Xenopus tropicalis: one gene and its partners. The protein of the gene in region 1 purifies or fractionates together with the protein of each later gene. This does not show direct contact. Links are inferred from orthologs where the notes say so. Each region holds a gene or a part of one and is shown on either strand. Other genes may lie near its edges.

What was found.
Region 2: the proteins of hsp90ab1 (region 1) and hspd1 fractionate together in Homo sapiens (co-fractionation; 3 studies listed by BioGRID). This does not show direct contact. The link is inferred for Xenopus tropicalis from reciprocal best matches to the Homo sapiens genes HSP90AB1 and HSPD1.
Region 3: the proteins of hsp90ab1 (region 1) and fgfr3 purify together in Homo sapiens (affinity purification with mass spectrometry; 3 studies listed by BioGRID and IntAct, with this or other methods). This does not show direct contact. The link is inferred for Xenopus tropicalis from reciprocal best matches to the Homo sapiens genes HSP90AB1 and FGFR3.

The regions. Positions count from the first base shown.
Region 1 is NC_030681.2:2,227,607-2,237,622, reverse strand, and holds the end of hsp90ab1 (heat shock protein HSP 90-beta), read left to right. Parts: intron 1-909; coding exon 910-1,056; intron 1,057-1,346; coding exon 1,347-1,553; intron 1,554-1,674; coding exon 1,675-1,834; intron 1,835-1,918; coding exon 1,919-2,052; intron 2,053-2,128; coding exon 2,129-2,434; intron 2,435-2,532; coding exon 2,533-2,698; intron 2,699-3,244; coding exon 3,245-3,435; intron 3,436-3,523; coding exon 3,524-3,671; intron 3,672-3,809; coding exon 3,810-4,078; intron 4,079-4,168; coding exon 4,169-4,502; intron 4,503-4,620; coding exon 4,621-4,730; 3' UTR 4,731-5,507; downstream 5,508-10,016. UniProt on the Homo sapiens protein: Molecular chaperone that promotes the maturation, structural maintenance and proper regulation of specific target proteins involved for instance in cell cycle control and signal transduction. Undergoes a functional cycle linked to its ATPase activity.
Region 2 is NC_030685.2:46,530,805-46,541,081, reverse strand, and holds the start of hspd1 (60 kDa heat shock protein, mitochondrial), read left to right. Parts: upstream 1-4,342; 5' UTR 4,343-4,409; intron 4,410-6,861; 5' UTR 6,862-6,863; coding exon 6,864-7,037; intron 7,038-8,985; coding exon 8,986-9,238; intron 9,239-10,143; coding exon 10,144-10,226; intron 10,227-10,277. Other genes in the region: hspe1 (10 kDa heat shock protein, mitochondrial), read right to left, coding at 1-87, 3,616-3,633. UniProt on the Homo sapiens protein: Chaperonin implicated in mitochondrial protein import and macromolecular assembly. Together with Hsp10, facilitates the correct folding of imported proteins.
Region 3 is NC_030677.2:20,898,638-20,908,814, forward strand, and holds part of fgfr3 (fibroblast growth factor receptor 3), read left to right. Parts: intron 1-365; coding exon of another isoform or gene 366-513; intron 514-1,674; coding exon 1,675-1,819; intron 1,820-3,389; coding exon 3,390-3,577; intron 3,578-5,244; coding exon of another isoform or gene 5,245-5,247; coding exon 5,248-5,393; intron 5,394-5,478; coding exon 5,479-5,600; intron 5,601-6,421; coding exon 6,422-6,532; intron 6,533-6,983; coding exon 6,984-7,174; intron 7,175-8,300; coding exon 8,301-8,423; intron 8,424-9,433; coding exon 9,434-9,504; intron 9,505-10,177.

The DNA of each region.
Region 1 (10,016 bases):
AGATGGGGGAGAGGGGCAGTTAGATGGGGGAGAGGGGACATTATCGTTGAGGCGAATTCGGGGCCCCTGTAATTCTCTACGGGAAAGGTTCATTCTGTGTATTATTCCCGGGGTTTCCCTAACTGTCAGTCCCGGCCCCGCCCCCCGGCCCTGGAACCTTCTAGATCTTTCTACCCCCCCCCGCGGGTGGGGGCGCACATGGTTAGGGAGCCGGTAGCGCCGCCATGTTGGGATGAAGCGCGTCACAGCCGGGGCCGGGCCGTGTATCCATGGTAACGGCTCCCCCTGCGCCCGGTCATGGTCTGTCCCGCTGCTGCTTGCGCCGTATGGGCTGGTCCATGTGTTCCCTCTGCTGGGGGGGGGGGAACGAATAACACTGACAGCTGCCCCACACCCGGGGCTCCTGTTGCCCCCCACACCCGGGGCTCCTGTTGCCCCCCACACCCGGGGCTCCTGTTGCCCCACACCCAGCGGGACAGGTCGCAAATGTCTTTCAGCCCAAAATCGGGGGAGGGGGGATTTAAAAGCTTCTCACAGGGTCTTAAAGGGCCAGTACCCCCAGTTACTCAGTGTGAGCTCAATGAGTAGAGCAAGTTCTGCACAGAGATCTGCCTGTTGCTGTAAGGAGATAATAGGACTTATTTAATATAAATATATTTCTCTAACCAGGGTGGAACTGAAAGTAAAAGTCCCTTACATGGCTGCTGTGAAGCCTCTATATAAACAAACCCCTCCCTTTCCCCAATGGCAGGGTGTGAGTGTTATACAGAGGCTGCTGCTTTGTTTCCATTCTGCTCATAAGAGCAGGAAGTAGAATGTTGCATAGGAGGGGGCAGTTATACGGCCCCTGGTGTTGCACGGGGCAATAGTCCTGCCTAAGACCCAGCTGACTCTCGTTCCCTTACACAGATGCCTGAAGTCGCTCACAATGGAGAGGAGGAGGTGGAGACATTTGCCTTCCAGGCGGAGATTGCGCAGCTCATGTCCCTCATCATCAACACCTTCTACTCCAACAAAGAAATCTTCCTGCGAGAGTTGATCTCCAACGCCTCCGACGTAAGTCTGTCCTTGGCTGCCTATGTGCCAACTGTGCCAGTGCCCAAGCACCCATATGTGGGGGGAGGGGGTATCTGAACTAAAGCAGAGCTGGCCTCTTGGCTCAGCTAGTGATAGAATGGTGTGTGTGCTCTGCAGCCAAGCTGTTATATTAGTAGGTATTGTGGCAGCTTCACTGCCTGTTGCATAGGGGTCTGGGGGGACTGTTATAATGAGGGGGGGGGGGCCCTCTGGGCTAGTAGCCACTCTCTGCCAATCCTCAACCTTCTCCCCATTGTTCGGTGCCGCAGGCCCTGGATAAGATCCGATACGAGAGTCTGACCGATCCCTCCAAGCTGGACAGCGGCAAAGACCTGAAGATCGACATCATTCCCAACCGCCAGGAGCGCACACTGACTGTCATCGACACCGGGATTGGCATGACCAAGGCCGACCTCATCAACAACCTGGGAACCATCGCCAAGTCCGGCACCAAGGCTTTCATGGAGGCCCTGCAGGTCGGTACCAGCGGCCCAATATAAAGCATTGACTATTAAATGCTGGCGCATTAAGTACCGTCCACTAGCCAGTGGTGTCTCCCTGAAGTCCAATTGAGTTGTGGTTCCTTCTCTCTGACAGGCTGGTGCTGACATCTCTATGATTGGTCAGTTCGGTGTGGGTTTCTATTCTGCGTACTTGGTGGCAGAGAAGGTCTTGGTCATCACCAAACACAACGATGATGAACAGTACGCGTGGGAATCCTCCGCCGGCGGCTCTTTCACCGTGAAGACTGACCATGGTGAGTTTGTGTTCAATTGGACCAGAATTCCCCTAAAGGCCTGTAAGTTGGCACCACTAACCCCAAACTGGTATTTCCTGCTAGGTGAGCCCATTGGCCGTGGTACCAAAGTCATCCTCTACCTGAAGGAAGATCAGACAGAGTACCTGGAGGAGAAACGTGTCAAGGAAACCGTGAAGAAACACTCGCAGTTCATTGGCTACCCAATCACCCTCTATGTGAGTATGGCCGGCCAGCTGGGGGCAGGGCCCTGGGTCTGATGTACGATTGGCTCACTATTTGTCTCCCCGACAGCTGGAGAAGGAGAGGGAAAAGGAGATCAGCGACGATGAGGCAGAGGAGGAGAAAGAGGAAGAAAAGAAGGAAGAGGAGGGAGAGAACGACAAACCTAAAATAGAGGACGTGGGCTCCGATGAGGAAGAGGAGGGGAAGGACAAGAAGAAAAAGACAAAGAAGATCAAGGAGAAGTACATCGACCAGGAGGAGCTGAACAAAACCAAGCCCATCTGGACCCGTAACCCAGACGACATCACCCAGGAAGAGTACGGAGAGTTCTACAAGAGCCTGACCAATGACTGGGAGGATCACTTGGCTGTGAAGGTAAGAAGAAAAAAAAACCCCATAATGCACCGCTTGTTCAGCTCTGGGTTCCACACTCTCTCCTGAGCGCTAACACCCCCTGTTCTGCTTCCCCCCAGCACTTCTCTGTGGAGGGGCAACTGGAGTTCCGCGCTCTGCTCTTCATTCCCCGCCGCGCCCCCTTTGATCTGTTTGAGAACAAGAAGAAGAAGAACAACATCAAGCTGTACGTGCGCCGCGTCTTCATCATGGATAGCTGCGACGAGCTGATCCCAGAGTATCTGAGTAAGTACTGGCCCGAAGCTTAGTGGGCCCCCTCCTTCCCCCCCCCCCCATAGGATGGGATGCTGGGTAAAGCCTTCCAATAGTCTGGCATTAGATGCTTCATTAACAGTCTAGCATGTAGATCTTTTGCTTGATGTGGTGACACAGGCAGGCAGGGCCCCACGCACACCCATAGGCACACAGGCAGGCAGGTAAGTGTGTGGGGGGGCAGGGGCAATTAATTGCCTATTGTAGTATTTCAGCCCAAGAATCCTTGTCTCTTACGCACAGGCCTCTTGGTGCACTCGCGTATCTATAAGGGGAAGACACACGGAGCTACTAGTAGCAGCTACAGAAACAGACAATGTTGATCATTTGCTGATAATTGTCTCTACGTGTGTCTAGCAGAAGGAATTCTCAGTATTGTCTATGGCAGGGGATTTGGTAGCTGCTACTAAGCTGCGCACACACACACGTAGGCACACAGGGCCCCACAGATGGATCCTGAATGTAGGACTTTTGGGCAGTCTCTCCCTGTGCCGCCTCTAACTCTTTTCTCTCTTCCAGACTTCATTCGCGGGGTGGTGGATTCTGAGGATCTGCCCTTGAACATTTCCCGTGAGATGCTGCAGCAGAGCAAGATCCTGAAGGTGATCCGCAAGAACATTGTCAAGAAGTGCCTGGAGCTCTTCACCGAGCTGGCCGAGGACAAGGAGAACTACAAGAAGTTTTACGAGGCTTTCTCCAAGAACCTGAAGGTGAGCAGTGCAGGAGGGTGCCCTGGGCTGTAGTGGGCGGAGCTCTTGTTCGTCCCAGTGGCTCTTGCTGACCTACCTCTCCTTGCAGCTCGGCATCCACGAGGATTCTACCAACCGCAAGAAGCTGTCTGAGCTCCTCAGGTACCACACTTCCCAGACAGGCGACGAGATGGCCTCCCTAACAGAGTATGTGTCCCGTATGAAGGAGAACCAGAAAAGCATCTACTACATAACTGGTAAGTGGCCCTTGCAGCAAGATATCCCATTATGGGCTCCCCTGGGAGAGAGGGGTATTCCTCTTCCCCTGGGGTCACTTCTCCGCAGCTCGCTTAGAGGAAGAGTCTGACACGTGACCCCTCTGTTCTGTCTCGCAGGTGAGAGCAAGGACCAGGTGGCCAACTCCGCCTTCGTGGAGCGGGTGAGGAAGCGTGGCTTCGAGGTGGTCTACATGACTGAGCCCATCGACGAGTACTGCGTGCAGCAGCTGAAGGAGTTCGACGGGAAGACGCTGGTGTCTGTGACCAAGGAGGGCCTGGAGCTGCCAGAGGACGAGGAAGAGAAGAAGATGATGGAAGAGAACAAGACCAAATTTGAGAGTTTGTGCAAACTGATGAAGGAAATTCTGGACAAGAAAGTAGAGAAGGTGAGGATGGGGCAGAAGGAAGTAATGTTGCCCCTCCCCTAGTATAGCCTTGTCCTGCTAACCCCCAACCTGCCCCTTGTTACCCCGCAGGTCACCGTGTCCAACAGACTCGTCTCCTCTCCCTGCTGTATCGTCACCAGCACCTACGGCTGGACCGCCAACATGGAGCGCATCATGAAAGCGCAAGCTCTGCGGGACAATTCCACCATGGGCTACATGATGGCTAAGAAGCACTTGGAGATCAACCCCGAGCACCCCATCGTGGAGACCCTGAGGCAGAAAGCGGAAACCGACAAGAACGACAAAGCAGTGAAGGACCTGGTGGTGCTGCTCTTCGAGACCGCGCTGCTGTCATCCGGCTTCTCCCTGGACGACCCCCAGACGCACTCAAACAGGATCTACAGGATGATCAAGCTGGGTCTGGGTAGGTGTCGCTGAGCATTATGGGAATGGCTACCAGAATCCTTCTGCCATAAAGGGGATTTGTATGTAGGGTCCTGAAACCACCACATTTAGGGTTAACTTCCCCTTGTCTCTCTCAGGTATTGATGATGACGATGCAACAGTGGAGGAAACTTCCCCCTCGGTGGCAGACGAGATCCCACCCCTAGAGGGCGACGAAGATGCTTCTCGCATGGAGGAAGTCGACTAATCGGTTTGCTGCCCGCTCGTCCTGCCCCCTCCCACCCGCGTATGTGCACTGTCTGTAACTCGGTAGGGGGGCGACTTCTCCCTTGGACTCTAAATATCACATGATACTGGGGATGGACTTCCCTCCTTATAGAATATATTTGGGGGAGCTTCAAGACTGATGGCTGCTGACTTTAACCCTTTCCTCTGCACCCCCCTTGTTGTGTTCCAGTCTGAGCAGTTAGTTATGTAAGTTATTGTAGCAGTATGGCAGCTAGCTTGGCTTGAGGTAGCCCTGAGTTAGTGGCCCGCTGTTAGCCAGCTGCTGGGGGGGGGGGTCTGTTTGACTCTCTCAATGCACCTTACAGGCCCCCCCTCTAATCCTACCCTCTGCCACTATTGTAATGGGCGTGTCCCTCTGTGCCCCCCCTGAGGCACGGGGGGTACTTACTGGGAAGCTTTAGAGACCCCCCTGCTGCCTTCTCCCATTCACTTGCATGGGGGGGGCGATTGAATGTGCTGGTGTTTGCAAATAGAAACGCCAGGCCAGTCTGGGGGGGTGAGGTACTTCTGCCCAATGCTACCTCAATCTGTAGCACCCCCAAATCTGCTGAGTGGTAGCCCCCATCTCTCTGACTGGAATCTCGTGCCCCCGCCCCCAGGATGTCTTGAATGCTGAGACCCCACCCCCATCCTACACATCTCTCTATCGAGAGCCTCAATACGGAACTTTATTTTATTTTTTGTTGTTGTAAAGTTGAGAAATGTTGCGCAAAATAAAGATCTTTTTACAGTGAAACAGTTTGTCTCCTGTTTATGTGCTGCCGACTGCACCGGATACAATGCTGTGTTACAGGGCTGTTTCCCCAACTATAAACCTTATGTGCAGTAGTTACAGCCTTGGATTTCTATAAGGCTTGGGATACTGGCATGATATTTATGGGACACTTTGTATCTCTAACACTGTTACACAGCAAATAATTCCCTCTGTCATTTATCCTTTTATTCTTCAACCAACAAATGTATTTGTAGCTGTAATATTGGTGTGTAGGCGCCATCTCAGTGCCTTGTGCCCGAGTCTGAGCTTTCAGCCAGCGCTACACATTAGAACTGCTTTCAGCTAACCTATTGTTTCTCCTACTCCCATGTAACTGGAGGAGTCCCAAGCCGGACTTGGATTTCTTACTATTGAGTGCTATTCTGATACCTACTGGGAGCTGCTATCTTGCTCCCTTCCCATTGTTCTGCTGATCGGCTGCTGGGGGGGAGGGGGATATCACTCCAACTTGCAGCGCAGCAGTAAAGTGTGCCTGAAGTTTATCAGAGCACAGCTCCTTGTTACAGCCAGGAGAGGGTGCTGTTCTGAGCATGATTCAGCCTGGCTGCCCCTGCTCATATGAAAATGATAATGCCCCTCCCTGTGCCTTGTTGCCCAAGGCCATTATGTTTGTGCTGCTGGTTTCTTCTTGCCAAGTCCATAAAGCCCTTAGGGTGGGTGTTGTAGGAGGGGCCACTGGTAAAGGCTTAAATGACCATCTCTGGGGGTTGGGGGGGGTTGTACCAAAGAGCAAGGTGGGAGTTGTAGTTCCTTAGAAGTATGTAAGGGTGGTGCTGTCTTGTTCTATTGGGGGTCCCCTTATTGCAGCACAACTGTAACACTGTGTGGGAGCAGTGGGTGGCGCTGTTGCTCCCTGATGTTCCTAACTCCGCCCCATATATTTATATGCAGAGATGCTGCCCCACCCCCCCAGGGGCTTCTATGCCCGGCTGGGCTAATCAGCAATTCCTAGAAATCCGTGCTGCAGCCCGCACTGGTGTATGTGCCCAATACCCCCTCTGAGTATCAGGAAAGGAACTTGCCCCAGAGTGGGGAGCAGAATCAGATCTCTGGCCCTTGCCGGCCGCACTGACTTATGGGATTTGTGGTCCTTGTATCTTTTCCTCCTTTCCTGTTGCCTTTTGGCTGCCGGAGGCTTCTGGGAGCTGTAATTTGTATGGATTTTTATTAAAGGGAAAGTTGCGTTCTGGGGGAAGGAGGGCCACCAAACCCACTGCCAGTCACTTATCTGCCCAAATGTGGGGCAAATAGAGGAATCCCTTACTATAAAGGAGGGAGCTGCCCTATCGATTGCAGGATATTTCAGGGGGAAGGAATTATGCAGATTCCTGTATGAAGCCCGTTGTTTTTGACCCAATATAATGATTGTCTGCCACAGAGCCAGGGTTCCTCCCACCCCTAGGCCCTAGCCAATGAGCAGTGAGCACAATTGCCCTAGGGGCTCAGTAAAACAGTGGGCACTGGAAGCCTATTAGCCACTATCTCTATTATTCAGCACCATTCTGTACCACATGGGGGCCCTCCAGCCTCATCTCCCAGCCTTTGTACCTGCCCCAGGCAAGGGCCACACCTACCTACCCCTCTCTCACTCTGGGGCACAAAAAGCACACAAGCATACACGTGTCCATTCCTGCACCGGTACAGCTGGGGTGTTTGCTACAGAAACCCTACTATAGTTTATATAAATACCCCGCTGTGTAGCCCCGGGGGCAGCCGTTCCTGCACTGGTACAGCTGGGGTGTTTGCTACAGAAACCCTACTATAGTTTATATAAATACCCCGCTGTGTAGCCCCGGGGGCAGCCATTCCTGCACTGGTACAGCTGGGGTGTTTGTTACAAAAACCCTACTATAGTTTATATAAATACCCCGCTGTGTAGCCCCGGGGGCAGCCGTTCCTGCACTGGTACAGCTGGGGTGTTTGCTACAGAAACCCTACTATAGTTTATATAAATACCCCGCTGTGTAGCCCCGGGGGCAGCCGTTCCTGCACCGGTACAGCTGGGGTGTTTGCTACAGAAACCCTACTATAGTTTATATAAATACCCGCTGTGTAGCCCCGGGGGCAGCCATTCCTGCACCGGTACAGCTGGGGTGTTTGCTACAGAAACCCTACTATAGTTTATATAAATACCCCGCTGTGTAGCCCCGGGGGCAGCCGTTCCTGCACTGGTACAGCTGGGGTGTTTGCTACAGAAACCCTACTATAGTTTATATAAATACCCCGCTGTGTAGCCCCGGGGGCAGCCGTTCCTGCACTGGTACAGCTGGGGTGTTTGCTACAGAAACCCTACTATAGTTTATATAAATACCCCGCTGTGTAGCCCCGGGGGCAGCCATTCCTGCACCGGTACAGCTGGGGTGTTTGCTACAGAAACCCTACTATAGTTTATATAAATACCCCGCTGTGTAGCCCCGGGGGCAGCCATTCCTGCACTGGTACAGCTGGGGTGTTTGTTACAGAAACCCTACTATAGTTTATATAAATACCCCGCTGTGTAGCCCCGGGGGCAGCCGTTCCTGCACCGGTACAGCTGGGGTGTTTGCTACAGAAACCCTACTATAGTTTATATAAATACCCCGCTGAGTAGCCCCGGGGGCAGCCATTCCTGCCCTGGTACAGCTGGGGTGTTTGCTACAGAAACCCTACTATAGTTTATATAAATACCCCGCTGTGTAGCCCCGGGGGCAGCCGTTCACGCTGCAAAAAAGGCACATGTTACATAGCAGATAATAGATAAGCCCTATAAAACACCATTGTATTCTACAGAGTTTATTATCTGCTATATTATATTTTTTGAATTATTTCCCTTCTTCTTCTGACTCTTTGCAGCTTTCAAATGGGGGTCACTGACCCCGGCAGCCAAACCCTATTGCTCTGTGAGGCTCCAGTTTTATTGTTATTGTTAATTTTTATTCCGTATCTTTTGGTGCAGCCCCTCCCCTATTCATATTCCCATCTCTCATTTAAACCACTGCCTGGTTGCTAGGGTATATAAGACCCTAGCAACCAGATAGCTGCAAAAATACCAGAGAGCTGCTGAACAAAAACTGAAATCATTAAAAAACTACAAATAAAAAATGAAGACCAATTGCAAATTGTCTCAGAATATCACTCTCTACATCAGACTAAAGGTGAACTACCCCTTTAAGAGAACCCTAACCTGAGAGTAACTGTGGGCCTTAACCCTCTGCATGCTGTGTGCTGACTGACACTCTTCCTACCAGCAGTCGAAGGGTTAGTTACATCACATCACAGTGGCATCACTTACTGGCAGTGTGAAGCCCGAGTGGTTCTGTGGGTGTAGGTTGGCCTTGGGGTGCAGTGATGCCAGTCTCGCCTGGGTGCAAGGTGACCCCCCTATTGCTGCACCTTAAGGTCATGTGTGTGGAAGTGGCGCAATCATAAGAGCCCCCCCACCCCAGGCCGTGTATGGAACATCCCTTTCCCCATCTCCCACCCATTGCACATTACGGGGGGGGGGGGTCCCCCCCGCACCTCCCGGATCTGGAAAAACAACAGCACACCTTGCAGCATTCTGCCCAATCCTTGCCCTTTGCCCCGTCCTTGCCCCCCCCCAGCTCACAGCCTAGGTACAGACTGCAGCCCCCCAGCTCACAGCCAGCAGCCCCCCAGCTCACAGCCTAGGTACAGACTGCAGCCCCCCAGCTCACAGCCTTGGTACAGACTGCAGCCCCCCAGCTCACAGCCTAGGTACAGACTGCAGCCCCCCAGCTCACAGCCTAGGTACAGACTGCAGCCCCCCAGCTCACAGCCTAGGTACAGACTGCAGCCCCCCCAGCTCACAGCCTAGGTACAGACTGCAGCCCCCCAGCTCACAGCCTAGGTACAGACTGCAGCCCCCCAGCTCACAGCCTTAGTATAGACTGCAGCCCCCCAGCTCACAGCCTAGGTACAGACTGTACCCCCCCAGCTCACAGCCTAGGTACAGACTGCAGCCCCCCAGCTCACAGCCTAGGTACAGACTGTACCCCCCCAGCTCACAGCCTAGGTACAGACTGCACCCCCCCAGCTCACAGCCTAGGTACAGACTGTACCCCCCCAGCTCACAGCCTAGGTACAGACTGTACCCCCCCAGCTCACAGCCTAGGTACAGACTGTACCCCCCCAGCTCACAGCCTAGGTACAGACTGCAGCCCCCCAGCTCACAGCCTAGATACAGACTGCAGCCCCCCAGCTCACAGCCTAGGTACAGACTGCAGCCCCCCAGCTCACAGCCTATGTACAGACTGCAGCCCCCCAGCTCACAGCCTGCAGCCCCCCAGCTCACAGCCTAGGTACAGACTGCAGCCCCCCAGCTCACAGCCTGCAGCCCCCCAGCTCACAGCCTTGGTACAGACTGCAGCCCCCCAGCTCACAGCCTAGGTACAGACTGCAGCCCCCCAGCTCACAGCCTAGGTACAGACTGTACCCCCCAGCTCACAGCCTTGGTACAGACTGCACCCCCCC
Region 2 (10,277 bases), on another chromosome or scaffold:
TCCCCCTTTAGTTACAGTTTCTGCAGCAAGCCGCTCAACAAGGACACGATCAAATAGAGGAACAAACTTTTTGAAAGCTCGAACTGCCTAAAATTAAACAAGGAAAACAAAAGAAGGGGTAATTTATATAAGGAAGTAGAACATCATAAAAGCAAATTCTACACATATTCAGTCTAGACAAATGTATGGTCTGAATCTTGCATATCCCAGCGTCCATGTTTAGTCACTCTCTGTTGTACATAAGCTGGTAATGTAATTAAGACTGACAGAATAGCAGAGTATAAAAAAGAGATGTAGTATAGATAAAAGGATTATCATCAAGAAGTGTACTTCCTGATAATAAACCTAAAAAAAAAAATTGAAAGGTCCTTTAACAATAACAATATTACCAAAAAATGGAAAGTCCAATCAAATGACCCAATATACTATCTAACACTATGTATAACAACCAGTACTAATACATATATGCTTAATGCATGCATATCATATCTAAAAGCTGTGACTGGCCAGCCTACTAGTTCATCTCTAAAACATAGCAACCATGATCCTTAATAAATATTACTGACTGCATATTGGGAAGAAAGAGTGGTTGTTAATGTTACATTTTCTCTTTGGAGTAAGGCTCTGACCCATATACATCCCCAAAGTACACATTCTGCAAAAAACTAAATGGGTAAATACATCTTTCTACTGCAAACTACCAAACTACAAAGTTTTGCTAAAAGTAGCGTTTTTTATTTAATTGTCACAAAGCTTGCATTTTACCCCATTATATATTCCACATATTGTAATGTAATAACATCCAACATTCTAAATATAAACCTCAGGGGTCTGCTGAACAGTTTGATGCCCAATATGTATAGATTTACCAATCTATTTGGCATACAGAGGCACCCAAATATATACATAGCAGACAAATTTTTCATGGGCACAAGTAACAAAAAATAATGTGAGATGCAATAAAATCACTAAAATCAATGCTTCGTGTGCAACAAATAGAGGGGGGGGGGGGGGGGGGGATCGAGCAGGCCCTTGGGCCCCTTCCTCTTCATCCCTTTGACCTTCCTCCTCCTCCAAACAGATCTTGCAGCCTGCTACCCTCTCCTAGATCTGCAAGTGTAGTAGAACGTAGAATCTATGATCAGTGGCACTTAAATACTTTTATCCACAGAATGCAGATTCTACATTCTGTGGCATATAAATGGTTAAAGAATAGTGATAAATGGAACATTTTCTAGTTGGAACAATGTTTATCCTTGGTCTTTGACCCTCATTTGTTTATAAATGACCTTAAAGATGTCACTCTAAAAACAACCACTGTTTTGCTGGTGTTAAACTGTGGAAAACTATTGGTTTCATGCAGGATGTTTTCACTTTGCGGAGAAATTTTAAAGAGGATGTAAAGTCATTTTTTAAAATACACATATAGATTCTTAGCACTACACTTTGTAATATATGTCTGTTAAAAAATGTGATACTTGCTCGGATGTAAAAGCGTTTGTTTCTGCAGCTTTCTTTTCTCTCCCTTGATTACAATCCCCCTTGAAGTTCAGAGGCCCCTGGCCTTCATACTAACCTGGTCCTGAGGGACAGCAATTCCAGAACAAATATGTAGCTGTGTGAGCGTTAAACACCCTTGACCCCTGTCTAACAGTTAAGCATTGAAGGGGCTGCCAATAAATCATACGCAAGAAGGACACTGAACTTCAAAGGGAATCTCAATCAAGGAAGAGAAAAGAAAGTTGCAGAATCGATCGCTTGTATCTCAAAAGGATACAAGTACGCAACCACAATATTTTCCTACGACTGATTTGAATTTGTGACATTTCCAAACATCAGAAATTACTGTAGTTACTCCAAATTATTTGCATATCGTGATTTTAACCACAAAAAAATTGTGGTTTAATGAATTTGCCCCCCATGAGTTTTGTTGTTTTACACCATGGTTTGTTAATTTACTTAGTCTGATTGGGGACATTTGTCCTATTTGATTTTATGTCACCATGTTAAGTAGTAATATGCTTTTCTGACCTTGTTGACCACACTGCATTCTAATTTGTAGTACCTGGGGATTTTTATTGTATCAAATCATATGAGGGTTCTGTATTGGTTCCACTTTTATTTAATGTGTTTATTGATTACTCAGGGGAGGGTATTATAAGGAATGTATCAGTGTTTTCAGTTGACACAAAACTCCCAGTAGCCCAATGAATTCTATCCAGGATGTGGCATCCTAGCAGAAGGATTGTGACAAACTAGCAACCCGGGTGGCTATGTGGCAGATGAGATTTAATGTCAATAATTGTAATGTCATGCACCTGGGATGTAAAAATATACAAGCCACTTATACCCTTAATGGGACTGGACTAGGCAAATCCATAATGGAGAAGGACCATGTAGATAATAAACTTGGCTGTAGCAAACAATGCCAGGCAGCAGCTGCAAGGGCAAAAAGGTTTTGAGCTGTATTGAATGGGGTATAGATAGATGCTTTATTTACCAGTAGGCCCATGCCCTTTCTGCAGACACGAGTGCACCCATTCAGACTAAAAGAAAGGAGGTCCTGTTCAGAGCTGTAAAGTTGTGGAATTCTCTCCCTGAATCAGTCAAACTGGCTAATACATTAGATAGCTTCAGGAAAGGGTTGGATGGCTTTTTAGCAAGTGTGGCAATACAGGGTCATGAAAGATAGTTCATAGTACAAATTGATCAAGGTACTGATCCGATTGCAGTCTTGGAGTCAGGTAAGATTTTTTCACCCTCTGTGCTAAATTGGAGAGGCTTCAGAAGAGATTATTTGCCTTCCTCTGGATCAACCAGCAGTTAGGCAGGTTATATGGGCATAAAAGGTTGAACTTGATGGACATCAACTATGTATAAACCACAATCTCCCTTCACCAATGGATATAATTGTGACTGGTCTCTGTTCACTACAAGGCACCGAATCAGCCTTGGTGCAGACATGGGGGTGGAATTTTACTTGAAAATGCATGAGTTACCATTCCTGCACCAAAATCCACTGCACTCAGGCTGAAGCAGTGTCTTTCAGTGTATACACAGGAGCAAGTGGATCAGCTGATACTCTGCCTGTGTATAAATGCAACCAAGTGTGGTACTAACCTTAAAGGCCAGAGCGTCAACTACTGACAGACAATGCCTTTCCTAATCTGGACAACTATTCTGAGCAGCAGAACCCTAAACTGTATTGCTGCCCATTCTTTATATGTGCAGGTTGTACATGACCAGGTGCAGTAAGTTTAAAGAAAAGCTGAAGTGTGATCCTCATCCAATGAACAGTGTATGAGCTATCCCAAAAGCATGAAACAAAAATGTAGAGAAAAGCAGGTAAATAGGACGTCTAAAGTGGACAGTTAACAAACCTTATAAAACTAATTATTACATAAAACCCATGCAACACAATCTATAAAGAATCTTGATCAACCCTAAATCCACAGAACACTGAATCTATGACTTGCGACTATTCTTTAATTTATAGTGCTGCTCATTTTAGCCATAACACTTGAAAAATAAAATAAAAAGCGTGTCTTAAACATCATGCAAGCTTGCATAGTTTAACTTTTTACAATATGTATTTCAATTATAATCCCCACTTACTTGTACGCAGGACATCATTCTTCTACCTTACATATTACTGGTGAATGTACAGCAGCAACAACGCAAATATACGAATTAACTATATAAATAACAAAAACTGGCACATCATGCGATAGTCAGGCATACCTAACGGTTAAACGCAGCACTCACCATAGTTAAGCAAGACTTGATGTGCAAAGCAGCAACCAACTCTACAAGCTCCTAGCGCAGACTGGGACACTTGACCTACAACCACGTGAATAGAAGGCAAGCTTTGCACATGCGCAGTAGAATTAAGGGACGAGCGTAAAAACACACAATCAGGTGTAAAATAGAATTGCACTAACCATATGTTGTATATTTTTTCAACACTATATAGTCCGCTTTGTATTAAAACGAATATTAACGACTAGTTCAAAACTCATCAGCCCAAGGCTGATGAGCTTTGAACTTTAGTTTTTTGCATCCGGGTTATCTGTCAATGTCACCTCGAACCTTGGAAAGCGAAGCTATTCCAGAACGTTCTGGAAAGGCGGCCCAGGAACTAGTATATCGGCATATGCTTAGGTCGTTGTGCAAGCTCATACGTAATAGGAGGAGCAACTTGTTCAGTTGTAATAAATGCCAAGGGGGGTTCTTTTATTCAGCCGTGTTATTCGTTCATGCTTAGCCCGTGGTAGTTAAAGCTTCCGGAAGGCTGAGGCACGTCATTCCCAGAGGAGGTTTAGAGCTTGTGCTGTAGGTCTGACAATTCCATTCGGCTGCAGACACGTGTGTGCTTGTACAGTAAGTTGCTCTTCGCTTTGCCTGCTCAGGTGAGTTGCTGGACCGGCTTCTTTTTGTGTCATTCTTCTTTCACAATTGGGCTTTGAGTGTAAATTGCAAGAATTAACTGTCATTTCTTGCAGCTAGCCGTTAGAGCAATGAAACATTGTGAATTCTCAAGTTAAATTGGTTTTCAATATGAATTTTTTTTTTACATTTCACATACAGCAATAAAAATGAGATTACAAGTTTATATGTTATTATAAGCTTATATTTGTTTATAAGCAATTATATTGGTGCCGAACGCGTGTATTGCAGTGATTTGTAAAGGACGAGTCTTATTCTAAAATCTAAATCATGGGTTGGTACATACAATTATTCAGTCTGTTCCCGTAGAATAAGATTCTGCCTACAGTAAATAATACAACATACGTGAGTGGTTTAACCATTGTTAGTGTAGCAAAGCAGATTCATTTGTTAAACTAGGTCCCCAGTGTGAGCAGCGTAATATGCAATTATGAGTGTCACTTTTCTGACTGTTTTTATATGTATTGCAATACTCCACTATGTATTGCAATTCAGTACTAAAAAAAAAATTGGTTGTAGTTCTGTGAAGTTCATTCATATTATGACCTTGTGTATTATGCCCTTTCAGATACCTGCATGTCAGGTCTTTGTTATGTCATCATCCCAAGTTTAAAGTAATTAAGGGGAACTTCTCTCCCATTTTTAGGGCATTCTTTAATTCTGAAAAGTTTTGTGTACCCTATGTTTTTATGTAAAGGTTTAGCTTTCATTCATTATTTTCTAAGAATGAGATAATATAAGGGCATACTTTAATATGTACATAACATGTGTTATTTGTGTATGAATATGTAGAATGGATTTAAAGGGACAAATAAGAAATCTATCCACTATTGTATCAAATTAAAACAATGCCAGAGACTCCCACCTCCTGATCTGGGTCAGGGAGACATGTGAAGGCCCAAAATGAAACATCAGTATTAGAAAAACAGTCAGAAATAAAAAATAATTGCTAAAATAGTTCTAGTGAACTATGTTAAAACACCTGACATGGAAATTTCAAGAATTTAATTTCTTTAAAGGAGAAGGAAAGGTAAAAACTAAGTAAGCTGTATCAGAAAGGTCTATGTAAATACAGCCTTAAGCACTCAGAGAAACGCTGCACTGAGTTCTCTGTCAAAAGAAACGCAGGATTTCTTTTTTTTGTAAACATGTTAGGGTATCTGACTTCCTCTCTCAGAAAAATCCATCATTCCTGGGGCCAGAGTCTGCACAGTTCTCTCTTGCTCCCCCTCCTCCCTCAAGAATGTTGAGAACTCCCTCCCCCTCCCTTGGGAATGTGTAATCTGAGCTATAATGGTTAGAGCTGAAGCAGGAAGCTATGAAGACCAAGCTAAAATGGCAGCTGCAATCTCAAACAGAGAAAGCTTCTAGGGCTCTGTACTGAGGAATAGTAATGGTTTCTGCAGAATAAATATAGTGTTCTAGGTGGCACTAATGTGGTGAATCTCTTGGCAGTAAAATGCCAAAATGCCTTTTTTAATGGCTTAGCGTTGTCTTTTCCTCCAGTGGAGAATCTACAACTTATAATGTACCCATTTTATGTGTGTGTAATTTTAGTGGGTTAGTCTGATACTTTTGGCTCAACTGAGAATCAATAACCCCAGGGTTAACTGAATCTGGCAATTAGCAAACTTCAAAAAAATGAAGGGACACAGGTGTCTTCGTACTGGCGATTCACTTTATTGCTGGTGGGAAGACACCAGAAATAAAACCTTTTTTACATCATAACATTGTCTTTGCATGCTATTATCAATTATCAATGACCCCAGCTTTTTTCCCTGCCAAAACACATTTTGAAATTGTAATGCTGATTCACACACTTAGATTGATGTGAAAATTTAAATTTAGCTGCAGCTGCTGCTGAACTAAAATCTGTAAGAGTATCTGTTAAAAATGGTTATTAGCCAATATATTTTTCTGCAGCATTAGAGCAATGCTATTGATGCTGTGTATCAGTTGTAAATGAATATATCTAGTGACCCAGAAAAGATTAATATGAGAAAAGAAATGAATTGGGGCCCTCTTTCCCTCTTCGGTTAGTGGGCTTTTTTTTTTTTTTTTTCCCCATGGTTTTTTTTTTTTCTATTGTACAGTGTTAGTGCTTTTATAAATGTTCTTTAAAGACCTTTCACTTTGAAAGTGATGTGATTGTATTCATCATTTTTACACGAACATTTTAAGCTTTAATACGTTAAATTTTAAGTGACTCTCAAAATCAAGCAGGATTTAACTGAAGGCCAAGAGCAGAAGGGCTTATAATTAATCATTTCGTGTGTTGTGTTAATTTTGAAAAAAACAAGACAACCCCACAATATAAGATACATGAATTATCTTAAACATCTCTGTTTGCCCTGTTTAGCTCAGTAAATAGCAAACCAACCACCATGAAACAATGCAACCATTTTTCTGTTTTAGAAATGCTGAGAATACAAAGAATTCTGCGACATGCAAAGCCAGCTTCCAGAGCGCTGTCCTTGAGCTTGAGCCGCCAGTATGCCAAAGATGTTAAGTTTGGGGCTGATGCAAGAGCACTTATGCTTCAAGGGGTTGATCTCTTGGCTGATGCGGTGGCTGTGACAATGGGACCCAAGGTAACCTACATACAACCTTAATAAAAAGTGTGGGATTACATTTTGTCCTTAATTAAAATTTGGTATTGTAGCCTTTACTTTTTATATTCAAATAGATGCTAAAATTAGTCACTATGTTGTAAGAGTTAATTACAAAATCTGATGTGTTAACAAGGGAGTGGGTGTACAGGTGATGCTTCCTGGTTGGGTAAAGTGGCAGCAATAAAGGCTAGCATGTTAACAAAAATGTTGTATGTTTTTAGGACAATACCTATTTTAGCACCTACTAATATTTATTTGAGTTGAGTATAAGCTAGTATTACACTATTATACTAGAAGATACTCTTGAAAGCTAGGACTTGTTTAAAGTGGCAGTGAAGAATATGTACTTGAATTTTGTGGTAGTTTTTTCTTTCTAGTGTGTAATGTGTTAAGCTGCTCTGTATGTAGCTGCCTTTTTTGTTCTCTTATTTACTTATGTTACATGCTAGTATATTACAAGATAAATGTATGATATGAAATCTTTAACAAAATGTTGATAAAAAAATTAAACTGCACAACTGAAACAGAAATTTTTAAGAGACTCCTAAATCAGCATTGACAGAAGCATTTGATACAGTGTTAGAAACAACTGCTTTCTAAACTATGGTCTGTTGGTCTTAGTGAAGTCATTTGCACATGGATAGAAAACTGGCTACAGGATCGGGAACAGAGGGTGGTTGTTAAAGGAGAATGCAAGTCAAAATTTAAAAAGCATACTGCCCAATACTCCTATTGTTTAGTAAAAACGCCACACTTTTGGCTCACCTAATCAAATATTTACTCAGTCACACTTAATTCACATTGTCTAGAACAGGCAGCCATCTCTAAAAAGGTATTCTCCCTTCCTTTCCCTCCTTGCTTCATACTGCAATGTGTTTCACTCCCTCCCCCCCCTCCCCTCTGCCAGATCCGCTTCTGATTGGCTGGTGGGCATGTGTAGCTCAGAACAGCAGACAGGATCAAGTTACACACATGCTCAGAGAATAGGAAGGCTGCCGCTGGCACCTACAGGAAGGACAGAGATTTCAGTGATGTCACTGTAGTCTTCACACTGCTGTAGGCTGCCAGCACCATATCTCAGAGAAACAAGCCGGGATCTGGGAATTTAGATATGCAGTAAGTACTTAAAAAGAATGCCTTTAGACTTACTTTTAATTTATATTAACCTTTCATTGTCCTTTAATGGTACATTCTCTACCTGGAGTAAGGTTCTTAGTGGGGTCTGTATTGGGTCCACTTTTATTTAACTTCTTCACTAATGACCTTATTGGAAGGGTATTGTAAGTAATGTGTCAGTGTTTGCATACAACGTCTGCACGTCACACAGGCAGAACAGAAAAACTTTTGGGACTGGGTTTCATTGCTGCACTGGTATTTATCTTTACAGCAGATTGTTCTAAAAGATAATTTGAGATGTTTTTGCTGACACTCGCTGTTTAAATTCAGAGTTGTGCAAAGGTGTCCCTCACTTTTATAGGGAATATGATTACAATATCTAACTATACAAGGCAACTGTATAAAAATATACATATTTGCCAGTAGATCCTTTGAGGAGATGCAAGGGCTTTAAAAGAATGGAGGTTCCATTGTAAGATTCAAAAAGGGGTTTCGTGTTTTTAAAAGTGAGCTGTTAAGCATATGTACATTAGACAGTTTAAAATAGGGTTGCATGCCTATTTAGAAAGCAATTTAATACAAAGTTACTGAAATGCACCCAGCTGATCCAGAGATTGGTCCAGTTGCTCTTTATTCAGGAAGGAATTCACCCCCCCACCTTTGAGACAAATCTTCAGAATCCTGATGTTTATGCAAATACCATATGGTTAACTCTACTGCACATATGCAGTAGTGTTGCTAACACAGAAGATAAACTTCTTGAGCATGGAATACAACTGTTATTTTCTCTTTATTTTAAATGTCTTTTTAGGGAAGAACTGTTATTATCGAACAAAGCTGGGGAAGTCCAAAAGTAACCAAAGATGGCGTAACAGTTGCAAAAGCAATTGATCTGAAAGATAAATACAAAAACATAGGTGCCAAACTAGTTCAAGATGTAGCTAACAACACAAATGAAGAAGCAGGTGATGGAACAACCACTGCAACTGTCCTTGCAAGGTCTATAGCTAAAGAAGGCTTTGAAAAGATAAGCAAAGGTGCAAATCCAGTAGAAATTAGAAGAGGTAAGTTTGAAACCCCTTTTTTCCCTTTGGATTGCAGAAGTTACGTTAACGGAACATAAATTTTGCTTTCTGGCACACCATTATTTTCCACTGAAATGGGTATTGACAAGTCCTGTAGCATTTAGTGTTAACTTTTTTAGATACCATACTAAAACCCAGATTTTACTCTTACAATATCACCACTAAAATGACAGCACTGATTGTATGTGTGCCAAAACATTACATAGAAACATAGAAAGTGAAGTTAAAGAAAGACCTGTATCTGTAAAGTTTAACCTCATGTACTTGATCAAGCTAACCGTTTCATCACCAGTGTCAACCACTGCTCTTTTCCTTTCAATGCAAAATGGTGACGGAATGAATGATGGTTTGTCCTTCACGGTTCTCTCAAAGAGCTCCAAGGCCATAAAGCACAATGGCAGTCTAAATAACTTTATATTTATTTCCAGAACAAAGTAAAGCTATAAATGGAACTACTGAAATGCATTTCTGATAATATCTGCAAATGATGTTTCTGTTGGGACAGATGTATTAAATACTTCTATTCATTCCTTCTCTGTTTGCTTACACATCACGAGTACTGAACCCTGATGCTATCCCTCACTAACTCTTTAGGAGACCGTCCCTTATGTAATAAAAGGTGCAAAGTTTGCAGTAACCCTTATAAAATTTAAAGCGTGTGACCAGTACATTTTTCTGCTGACTGGTTTATAAAGGGTTGCTGCACATTGCCTAATTTGGTGCCTTTTGTTGCATATCCCAGGTGACCTCTAGATACGTTTAAATACATAGACTTCGGTTTATTAACCACTGATATTTAGAAACAGATCTCTAACCACATAATTTTTATATATATAATATAGTATGTATGTAGTAACATTTCCGTTTTTGTATTACTTGTTTAGGTGTAATGATGGCAGTAGATGCGGTCATCAAAGAGTTAAAAAATCAGTCAAAACCTGTTACAACACCAGAAGAGATAGCTCAGGTAATATTTCCTGCTAAAGTTCAATACTCTTACTTTTTTTTATGTTTTTGG
Region 3 (10,177 bases), on another chromosome or scaffold:
TTCAGCCTCTGCTTTATTTTCATTTGTTTTTGTCTGACATGTGGACACAGCTTGCATTAGGTTCCAATCCCAGAATGCTGAGAAGTGCATTGTGGGTTATATACAAGATGGCCGCCAAATGGCTGTGTTTACATTAATATTAGCCTGACTTGTATTTGGTTTCTGCATCCAGAACAGTTACATTTATGATGTTTACAGGCTTTACAGCAGGAATCAAAGTCTGTGTATAAGGACTCAAAGGCAGTTCTCCCAGCTTGGACCTCACCTGTAGACATCTCAGCAATACAATGTGTTATCTAGTATCCGTAGCAATGTTCCTTTTTTTACCCTTTAACCAAAGTCACAGCATCTGTCTGTTCCTGCAGTCTTTCACCAATGGCACTGAAGTCGATACTACCCTAAGTCTAAAAAATGTGACAGAGACCCATGAAGGACAGTATGTGTGTAGAGCCAACAATTTCATAGGCGTAGCTGAGGCGTCCTTTTGGCTCCACATTTACAAACCAGCATCAGGTAAAACTATAGGCACCCAAAACAATCATCTTGGTATGAAAGGAAAGAAAGGAATCTTTATCAAGTCCTTGGGTGCTCTGATAACAGTCTCTCTGGTTCCTTGGGTGACTTAACATCTGCAGCTCTTTCTGCCTCTTCAACACTGAAATACATTGGATTGTAGCGCAACAGGACCCACAACTAGCTAACCTTCCTCCCCCCTACACCCTGGCATAAAGTCAGGATTTATGCATAAAGAAATTACTTTGTTGGAACTGGGATTATTTGGATCTAAAGCACAGTTTTTTAATTGAATAGAAATGTACATATTATATAATGGAATAGTGCCCCTAGAGCCGGTTGTGCTTATGGGTAACTTATATAAAAAGGTACCCTTCATCCTTATTCTCATCTGCTGTAGTTTCAGGGCACAGGGAGAGGAAATGAATCCCCAATTTGTGAATAAAATGGATAGTTTTTCTTTACAGCCAACGTTCCCTCTGCATATTTCTATTACTGAGGCTGTCATATTAGTTACCTCCGTTAAGGTCTTTTCTATAGACCGGCGCCATTCTTTGGCAAAGCCAGACTTTGTTCATAAGTATATTGTATTACTTGTATTACTTCTTATTGTGTTACTGACATCCACTCCTAGGTTGATTTATAATGATTTCCAAAAAAAGAAGTGTAGCCAAGGTGTGCCCAGTGAGCGTTAGATCCAGACTATCCCACTAACCTCTTGTCTTTAGCCTGAAGGTGGCACTTAGCTGTGCACTGCCCTGTTCCATTATATTCATTATAAAGTTCAAACTGAACATCCATTTGAGAGCCAAATGTACCATTTCAAGAATCATGAAACATGCTGTGTTGTGGGTCAGTAATTACAGGTGCCCATTGCGTGCATGCTGCCATGATATAGAATATAAAGCCTGGTGAAGGGTGCTTGTGTCTTTCTTTCCTACAGGTGTATAAAAGGCTGGTGAAGGGAGCTGGTGTCCTTTTTTTTTTATTCCTACAGGTGTCATCATTTGGGTCTTCTGCAAACTCCATCTGCTTTGGTTTCTTATTCTTGTGTTTCAGTGTGCTGGGAAACTGGGTTGCCTTTCAATGATTTATTCCATGCTTGTTCATTGTGCCCCGTTCTCTTTTCCTTTATCTTTAATTTCTCTGATCTCTTTTTAGCCTACTGGTGTTTACTCTTCGGATAAGGATCTTGAGGTGCTGGTTTTACGCAATGTGTCCTTTGAGGATGCTGGGGAATATACTTGTCTGGCTGGGAATTCTATTGGCTATTCACATCACACTGCTTGGCTGACGGTTCTCCCAGGTATTCTTGCTCATCACGCTGTTTCGGTGGCGCTTTCCATGTAACCAAGAAATGCCAAATAGACCTCTCCACCTTTCAGAATGAATCATGCAATCGTGTTGCCAATGCAAGTAGTCACTCAAAAGATTCAACCAGCACTTTGGCTTCAAGCCCATAGGTTTGCCCCCACATAGACACACTAAAGGATTCTGCCAGAACCCAAAATGCCCAATGTGGCTCTTTCCTAAGGTGCTTTCAGTTTTTCTGCTCATTAGAGTAAGGTTTGCAAATGGCCTTTAGGCTCCTCATCCACATTTACTACTTTGGCCATCTCCACAGATTGGGAAGTTAGAGGCCTAAGTGCCTTGAGCAGAGGAATGGACCTGGAAGGCCTATGTAAACAATCCCTTTTAAATTGACTTGGCCCTTAGTTTGGCATTTCTGTACATGTGATCTTCTTACTGAATCATTATACTACTACCACGTGCAAATGAGGGATTAACACATTTAAGGGCATATTTATTAACAATGGAGACAAACATCACCGGTGATGTCGCCCATAGCAACCAATCAGATCTTCACTTTTGTTTTCTAGGTGACCATTCAAATCTAGTTGCTGGCTGGTTGCTATGGGCAACATCACCGGTGATGTTTGTCTGCAGTGTTAATAAATACACCCTTTAGTGTCCGTTGGTCCTTCTGTGGCACTTGATCAGTTAATGGCCTGATTCTTTTTCCTTGAGGTGGTGGATAAATTGCCTTTTCTCTCTCCCTGTCTCTCTCTGTGCTCTGTGTTACTCTTGGCCCCTCTCCATTTTCTTATTTGTTCTCGAATATCCATTTTAGCAGAATGAATGGAAGAATGGATTGTTTCCTGAATTATTTTGTATTGTATTAATAACAATTGTCTTGCACTAAAGCAAATGTATAATAACAGTAGCCATTGTACCCACCAATAATCTGCCACACTCCAGTGTTTGTGCAGAAAATATTCACTTAGGAAGTGTTAAGTAAATCCCTTAGATGAGTAAAATCACTGTTCTGTAGAGTTTAACCTCCATTTATGAGAAGGGGATTCTGACCTTTGATTATTCACTATATAATATATAAGCCAAAATGTAGTTTATTAATATGCTCCTTTTTTCTGTGAAACAAAAAGTAAATTATGAGCACCGCGCTGCAGCTGTACAAATGATCCTATCTCTAAATACAGTATTTGCATTTATACATGAGTGGGTTATATAGTTATAAGCAGAAGATAATAGTTTTTGGAATTATTTGGTTCAAGCCATCATGTACACACCAAGGCCTGTAGGGCCCATAAAAACAAACTGCCTTTTGGCTGCTATTGGAAAGAGCGCTGGTGCAATTCTACACCTATATTAGTAAATTAGCCCCTATGTCTCTATTTGGTTTCACCCACCCAACCACTTCCATGGGGCTACTGGGCCTCGCTATCGGCTGAATACATGTAGGTATGTGGCTGTCTAATCTTACCCAAACAAAAGTAGTCCCTTCCCGCTCTACACTAACAGCTTCTGCTATGATAACTGCGGGTTCTTGGTTGCAACTGATTGTTTTCCATCCTCAGCAGAACCTGTGGAGAAGCCAACAACAACTTCTTCAAGCTCCACGACCGTCCTTATCGTGGTTTCGGTCATCACTGGGTTCATACTGTTGGTTATCATCTTCGTCACCTACCGCGTAAAGGTCCCTTCGAAAAAGGCAATGAGTGCCCCGCCGGTGCATAAAGTCTCCAAGTTTCCCCTTAAACGGCAGGTAACAGAAAGTAGATACAAGATTACTGCACTCTACTTCTCTCTGTCTTTCCTCAAGGGTGAATTTCCACTTATTCTTTATGGAAGAGTCAGAATGCCCACCTCTCTGTCGGATTTGTGGTCCTCAGATCTTCTCAGTTTCCGTGGATGGTGGGGCAGGTGGATTGATATTGGTGTTTTAGTTTTTTTATTATTCACTTTTTATAAGCTGAACCTGTCTTCCATTTTTTTCTTTGAATAGAGGTTAGACTATGAGGGTGTTTCTCTTGCTTACTTAAGGCCAACACTGTATACTGGATCACTATTAGTTGCCAAGGTGGTTAAGGGGCAGGGCTGGTTAGCACAGGGTAATCTGGCAGAGGATTGGTGGAAGGATATCAATAGAACTGTTGTACATTACATCTTCTATGGAAGCTCCATGCATCAGCATTTATATGGATCAAATAAAAAGAATACAAACCTTAAGGCAAGCATTCAGCCTGCCTAGATTTGCAGTTTCCTGACCATGCTCAGTCCAATAAGGACACCAGGGTTCATCTTTGGCACCCTAAGAAATAACCTAACAAGGGAAAAAGTATATTGTGTTTATGAAATGAGGCCGGACTTTGATTTATAACCAGCATTGTAACAGTTCTAGCTCAATATAAATGGCTACTGAATTGGGCTTGATAGGCGATGCCCTCATTCCATCATCGCTGTTGGGAGGATAGATGGAGATTTGTATGTGCGGAGCCCATTCCTTCGCTACAAACCAGTGGGAGCTGCAATGTTTTGAGAACAACCAGAAGGGTTGTTCAGGTGCAGTCTATACTAAAAGGCTGTAGTAACAGCTTTGGGAGACATTTGAAGATGGCCAAGGTTATAAGGACTACATCGGCTCCCCCTTGGCAGCTGCAACAGTTTCCTGGAAGTGAAGCGTATTATAAACATAAGCGAGGCCTCTGTTTAAAGGAAAATAAATGGAAGATAATCCCTGCTTAAATATAATTAAAATACTAAGCAACGCTCAATACCACTTTTAACCTAAACATTAATAAAATGTTTATATCACATGTAATAAGTGCTAATTCACCTTCCATTATTACATGTATTTTCTTCTTTGCCTTCTCCCTTGGCAATTAACCTGTATTTAGTTCTAATTGAATGCACTTATTTTCCTCTCTAATCCTAACTCTCTGAAATGTTACCTTTCCTCCTAATGATCTCTTTTTCTTCACCACCTATTTCCTTTATTGCCGGATGACACTCAGTATAAAGAGTAGGTATATTACGTGACACTATAAGTGGGGCATGTACATCCCAATGGGCCGTACAATAAAGTACTCATATATCATTATTGAGTATCATATTAGATTCAAGTTTTATATTTATTCTAATAATCCCCCCACCCACCAAAAAAACCCCTTTCTTTACCTGGTACAGTTGAATGAATGCTGCTTGCCCCTGACTCCTGAGCTACAGACATATAGAGGTAAATCTGTTCAGTTTAAAGGGCCTTGAAAATTAATAAATACCTCCACTTGAGAAAGTAAAGGACAATCTGCCTGATTTTATATAACAGCCTAAACCATTTAGGTCACCCATATTGAGGTTTCACCTTAGCACATTTGTTGGCGTAGACAAGGTGCAGCAGTTGGCAATAATACACATTTGTTTGGTTTATTTAAGCAGGTGTCTCTAGAGTCCAACTCTTCCATGAATTCCAACACCCCGTTGGTGAGGATCACTCATCTGTCCTCCAGCGACGGAACCATGCTGGCTAATGTGTCGGAACTGGGCCTACCGCTGGATCCTAAGTGGGAGCTGTTGCGAACACGGTTAGTGGAATTCCTCAGCCATAAATAGGATATTGATCTACATACCTCATATGCTGATGGCAAGTTAATTTTCTTCCTTTTGCAGGCTGACTTTAGGAAAGCCCCTCGGGGAAGGCTGCTTCGGTCAGGTGGTGATGGCAGAAGCAATCGGCATTGAAAAGGAACGGCCAAATAAGCCTGTAACTGTAGCTGTAAAGATGCTTAAAGGTACGAGGGGTGGAATCAGGACTGGACTTGGATTCAAAATAGGCCCTGGCATTTCCAGTACATAGAGACCCAAACAGCCCCCCACCAGCCCACTAAATAGGGACTGTCTATGGCATCTTACAGCAGCCCCTCTGGCATTTGCCAGAATTCACAGATTGCCAGTTTGGGTCTGGGTAGAACAAGATCTCCATACTGCTTTAGAAGTATGTTAATTCAGGCTTTAATGTTATTAGTTCATGAGACTTGTATCTCACCACTCTAACACTTTAACATCTTGGTTTGGGCAATGGCACCTGGCAGGAAAAAAAGAATTTGTGACTTCTCTTAAGGTGGCCAGACATGTTGCAATTTGCTCATTTGGCGAGGTTGCCAAACAAGTGGCTCTTCTCTTGATATGTCCATTTAAGCTGGTCCTTAGATGGGTCCTATGGGCAAACAATTGAATTAAAATGGCGGGCATAGTCTCCATTGGTCCGAGGACTACATCAGTGCGCCAAGCGCTCCCCATTCCTTGCAGAAAGTCAAACCTGCCCGATCGAGATCTGACCAATGTTAGGCCAGATATTGGTCGGATAGGCCCATAGGGGGTGCCCATACGTGGGCAAATAAGCTGCTGAATCGGTCTAAAGGACCCGAATTGGCAGCTGAAATCTGCCCATGTATGGCCACCTTTAGACGTGTCTATTCTAGATAATAAGTGCCATGCCCCCAATACATTAAGCCCTGATAACAAAACCATGTTGGTGTCCCTTTTAGCAGTTCCATGGGCCCTTATTGCAGTGACTGCTTGTGCTTATTACTTTGTCTCCCGTGTCTTGCAGATGATGCCACAGATAAAGATCTCTCAGATCTGGTCTCAGAGATGGAGATGATGAAAATGATCGGAAAGCACAAAAATATCATCAATCTGCTAGGAGCCTGCACTCAGGATGGTATGTAAGCCTGTGTCCTACATTGTGCTAGAAATGGCCTGTAAGTTATATAACTGCAAGCGTTAGGAAATGTTGACTCCCATATTGATGAAGTTTATATCACAAATAACAACCTTCGTAAACGGCCTCATTTAAACAGGGGCTGCTGTCTCATGAGGCTCAATACTGCAGGCAAATGGGGCAAAAGACAAAATAATGTTTATTCTACCAAATATGCCCCTTTCTCGAAAATGGGTCCTTGTGTGACCCTATGGTTGAAAGAAAGTCTTCATTTAAATGTTGATAAACTACAACTTCCAGCATTAGGGGATTGTGGGAGTTACAGTTCAGCCTCCAACTGGGGTTAGTGGTAATCTCATATCTGCATTTTTCTTTTATTGGGTTGGACTGTGTTAATGAAATTTCTGTTACCCATTGTAAATATATACTGTCTCCCATCTATCCCACGCAGGACCGCTGTACGTTCTGGTGGAATACGCATCCAAAGGGAACCTCAGGGAGTATTTAAAGGCACGGCGCCCCCCAGGAATGGATTATTCTTTTGACACCTGCAAAATTCCAGCTGAGCAGTTGACTTTCAAGGACCTAGTTTCTTGCGCCTACCAGGTAGCCCGTGGCATGGAGTACCTGGCATCACAAAAAGTAAGTTTTGCACGTATTGTATTAAGAGTTCTAGATATGATGTGGGTGATGCCCTCCTACCCTGTTTTGAAAAAGTTCATCCACACACGTCCCTCTGCCTCAAACATTCCTCTAGAGGCTGCTCACTTACCCTATACCTGGCCTTAGTACTCAAATCAGCACAGTAAGGTTGGCAGCCACTTTACATCTTGGCCCCAGCCTAGATGGGTAGTTCTTTGCACCTCCTTTTGCCATTAATGGGGAGTCTAGGATGGCTTTTGGGTTGCAGCATCCAAAGCACCACATGGGCCAATTTTAAACCTGGCCATATCATCTGTCTTTGACCCCAGCCCCAAGGTGGATTTCTATTATAGTCGCTAAGAGGTGGTTTGGCTGGGTTTGGGTGTTCTACAGCAGCTACGAAAGTACCCCACGTGGCACAAGCCTTAGGCCTCAGCACAGTCCTAAAAATCAGATGTAGAAGTGCAGTTAGACGTCAGTATTCTATCGGTCTCCAAACTCTCTTCCACCAGGCAGATGGTCTCCCTCAGTGGATTTCAGTTCTGCTGGAGCTGCAGATAATACTGAGAGATTCTCTCACTAAAAAACACAGGCAGGTGGGTGTTGGGCTGCAGTCCCTAGTAAGACCACAGCAGTTAGAATCAAACCTATATCCCCTTTTCTAAAGACCAAGGTGTATGGGGCACAAGGATCTGCAATATTACCTGGGGAGAAAAAACACAAGTAGGGTTAAATGAGCTTTATTTAGTCCATCAAGTGTTCCAAAAAAATGCATTTTGTAATGCATTATGCACTCCACTTTAAAGGCTGGGATCAACCAACAAACCAGCTAAACAGAGCAACAGAATATTAACAGAGCCAGACTACCCTGTAGACCAGTGGTAGTCAAATTTCAGAGGTCCTGTGTTTGATGTAGGATAGGCGTACTAGTTCTTCAGTCATGATAACAAGAATATCTAGGATGTAGCTGTGGGCGATTTGGCCCTATATTCCCCAGGATGATGCATAGGGCAGGGTTTGTGGGACAACAGGTGGGCTAGGGTTGCCTGTCAGGCGGGAAGCTCCATCTTGCTTATATTCCAGCTCCGCTTGTACTGACATGTTGTGTATTCTCCTTCTCCCCCAGTGCATTCACAGAGATCTGGCAGCCAGAAATGTGTTAGTAACAGATGACAACGTAATGAAGATTGCTGATTTCGGCTTGGCCAGGGACATCCACAACATAGATTATTACAAGAAAACAACAAATGTAAGTTATCCAAACAGAACTGTCGTTTTACATGGCAAATATTGAGTTTTACTTCCCACTGAAGGGGCTGTTGAGAGAGACGTGAAAATGAATCCTTAGTTGCAGCAGTGGGGCTGATGCTTCGGCTTCTATACAGTATATAGGAATTTGCCAGGAGCTCACAACAACATTTAATAGATGAGTGTCTGCTATGAGACTGCATGGAGCAAGATTACAGGGCATAGGGGCAGGTTTGGGATCACTGGAATAAGGGCGCCTTTTAATAACCATAGATACGGCCAGACATATCTAACATACGTGCATGTTAAGCCTTGCTTGGCCTAATACTGACATGTAACTTGGCCCAGTTGGCAGCTTATTGACCATGATACAGGGTCAAAATATGGCCTGATCCATATCTTATTGTAGCATAATCAGATCCAGCAAGGACCATATCAGACTGTGGTTACAGACCCCTATGTGATAGGATTGTTGGCCCAGAGGCCAAGTGATCAGGTTGGCCTAGTTAAGCCAAACAGGGCAAGATCCACACATTTGGCAACCTCTCCAAACAAGGGCCTCTACCTTGATATGGCCAGCTATATAAATCTCATCAGTGCAAGGTGTGGAGTGATTCCGAGGTACTTAAAAGGGTCAGGCCCCTTCAGACCGAGTCAGCAGCTTTTCAGTGTATATTGAAAAAACATAGAATATAGCTGTGGTACCTAAAGAAATGCCCCAGTTATTGCAAAACTGCATTATTTAATCTATAATCATGATATTGCTGTTTCCCCACTACATTTTCCCTCTGTCAGGCCCAATGCACTCAGATAAGCATTCTAGCCTTATGGAGTCACCTAGTCACTGTTAATCTGTTTACCCGCACCCATTATCTTTAGCCAGAAAGCAGCTGAGGTCAGCGGGCACGGGTGGAAGTGATAGATAGTGGATTATAAGGGAAGATTGGATGGTGCCATTGTGACTGTACCCCTGTGCTGATGTAACAGTCCATTCTGTCTTCCCAATTACAGGGTCGGCTGCCTGTGAAATGGATGGCTCCGGAAGCTTTGTTTGACCGTATCTACACTCATCAAAGTGATGTGTAAGCATTAACTGCAACCCATGCTGCCCACAGAGGCAGAATTCCTCTACTAAGCATTCTGATAAACAAATGTCTGATAGCTTATCTATCTAGTAAAGGGTAACTAATGCAAAAATCTGATAGAACGTGTAAGGTGCTCTTTTATTATAAAGATAATTTCTTTATTCCCAAGCCCTGATTGGGCTGTGAGATTATTCTGTAGTGATCCAAGTTAAACCTACAGCGGCCCCCATTCCGTCAGCCCCATGTGTTACTGATGGATTCCCTTAGCAGCGCTCTCTGTAGAATAAAGGTGGCCAATTATTTCCATGGCCGTTCCGTGGAAGTGGCGGTTTCCTGGCTACGGCCAAAGCTCAGTGTTGCTCCTCTCCATTCATGTCCCACAGTGCTGGAATTCAGCGGAGGGGATTTGTGCATGGATAATTTGATTTGTTCCATTCACCGAAACTGGTGGAAATCTCAACAAAGAGGGGGCTGGCGTAATGGATAAGCTGTCAGCCGGCTGATTAAATGCTCATTTCAATTTCAGACTCGGTGCCTAAAGGGTTTTTTTTTTTTTTTTTGAGCTTTGCTATTGAGTGCGGCCAGTAGCAATCTCCAAGTGACTAGTTTAAAAAAAAAAATTGCCCGGGCAATTAGTCATGGCGCTGATGACTTTGTTAGTTATGCATGG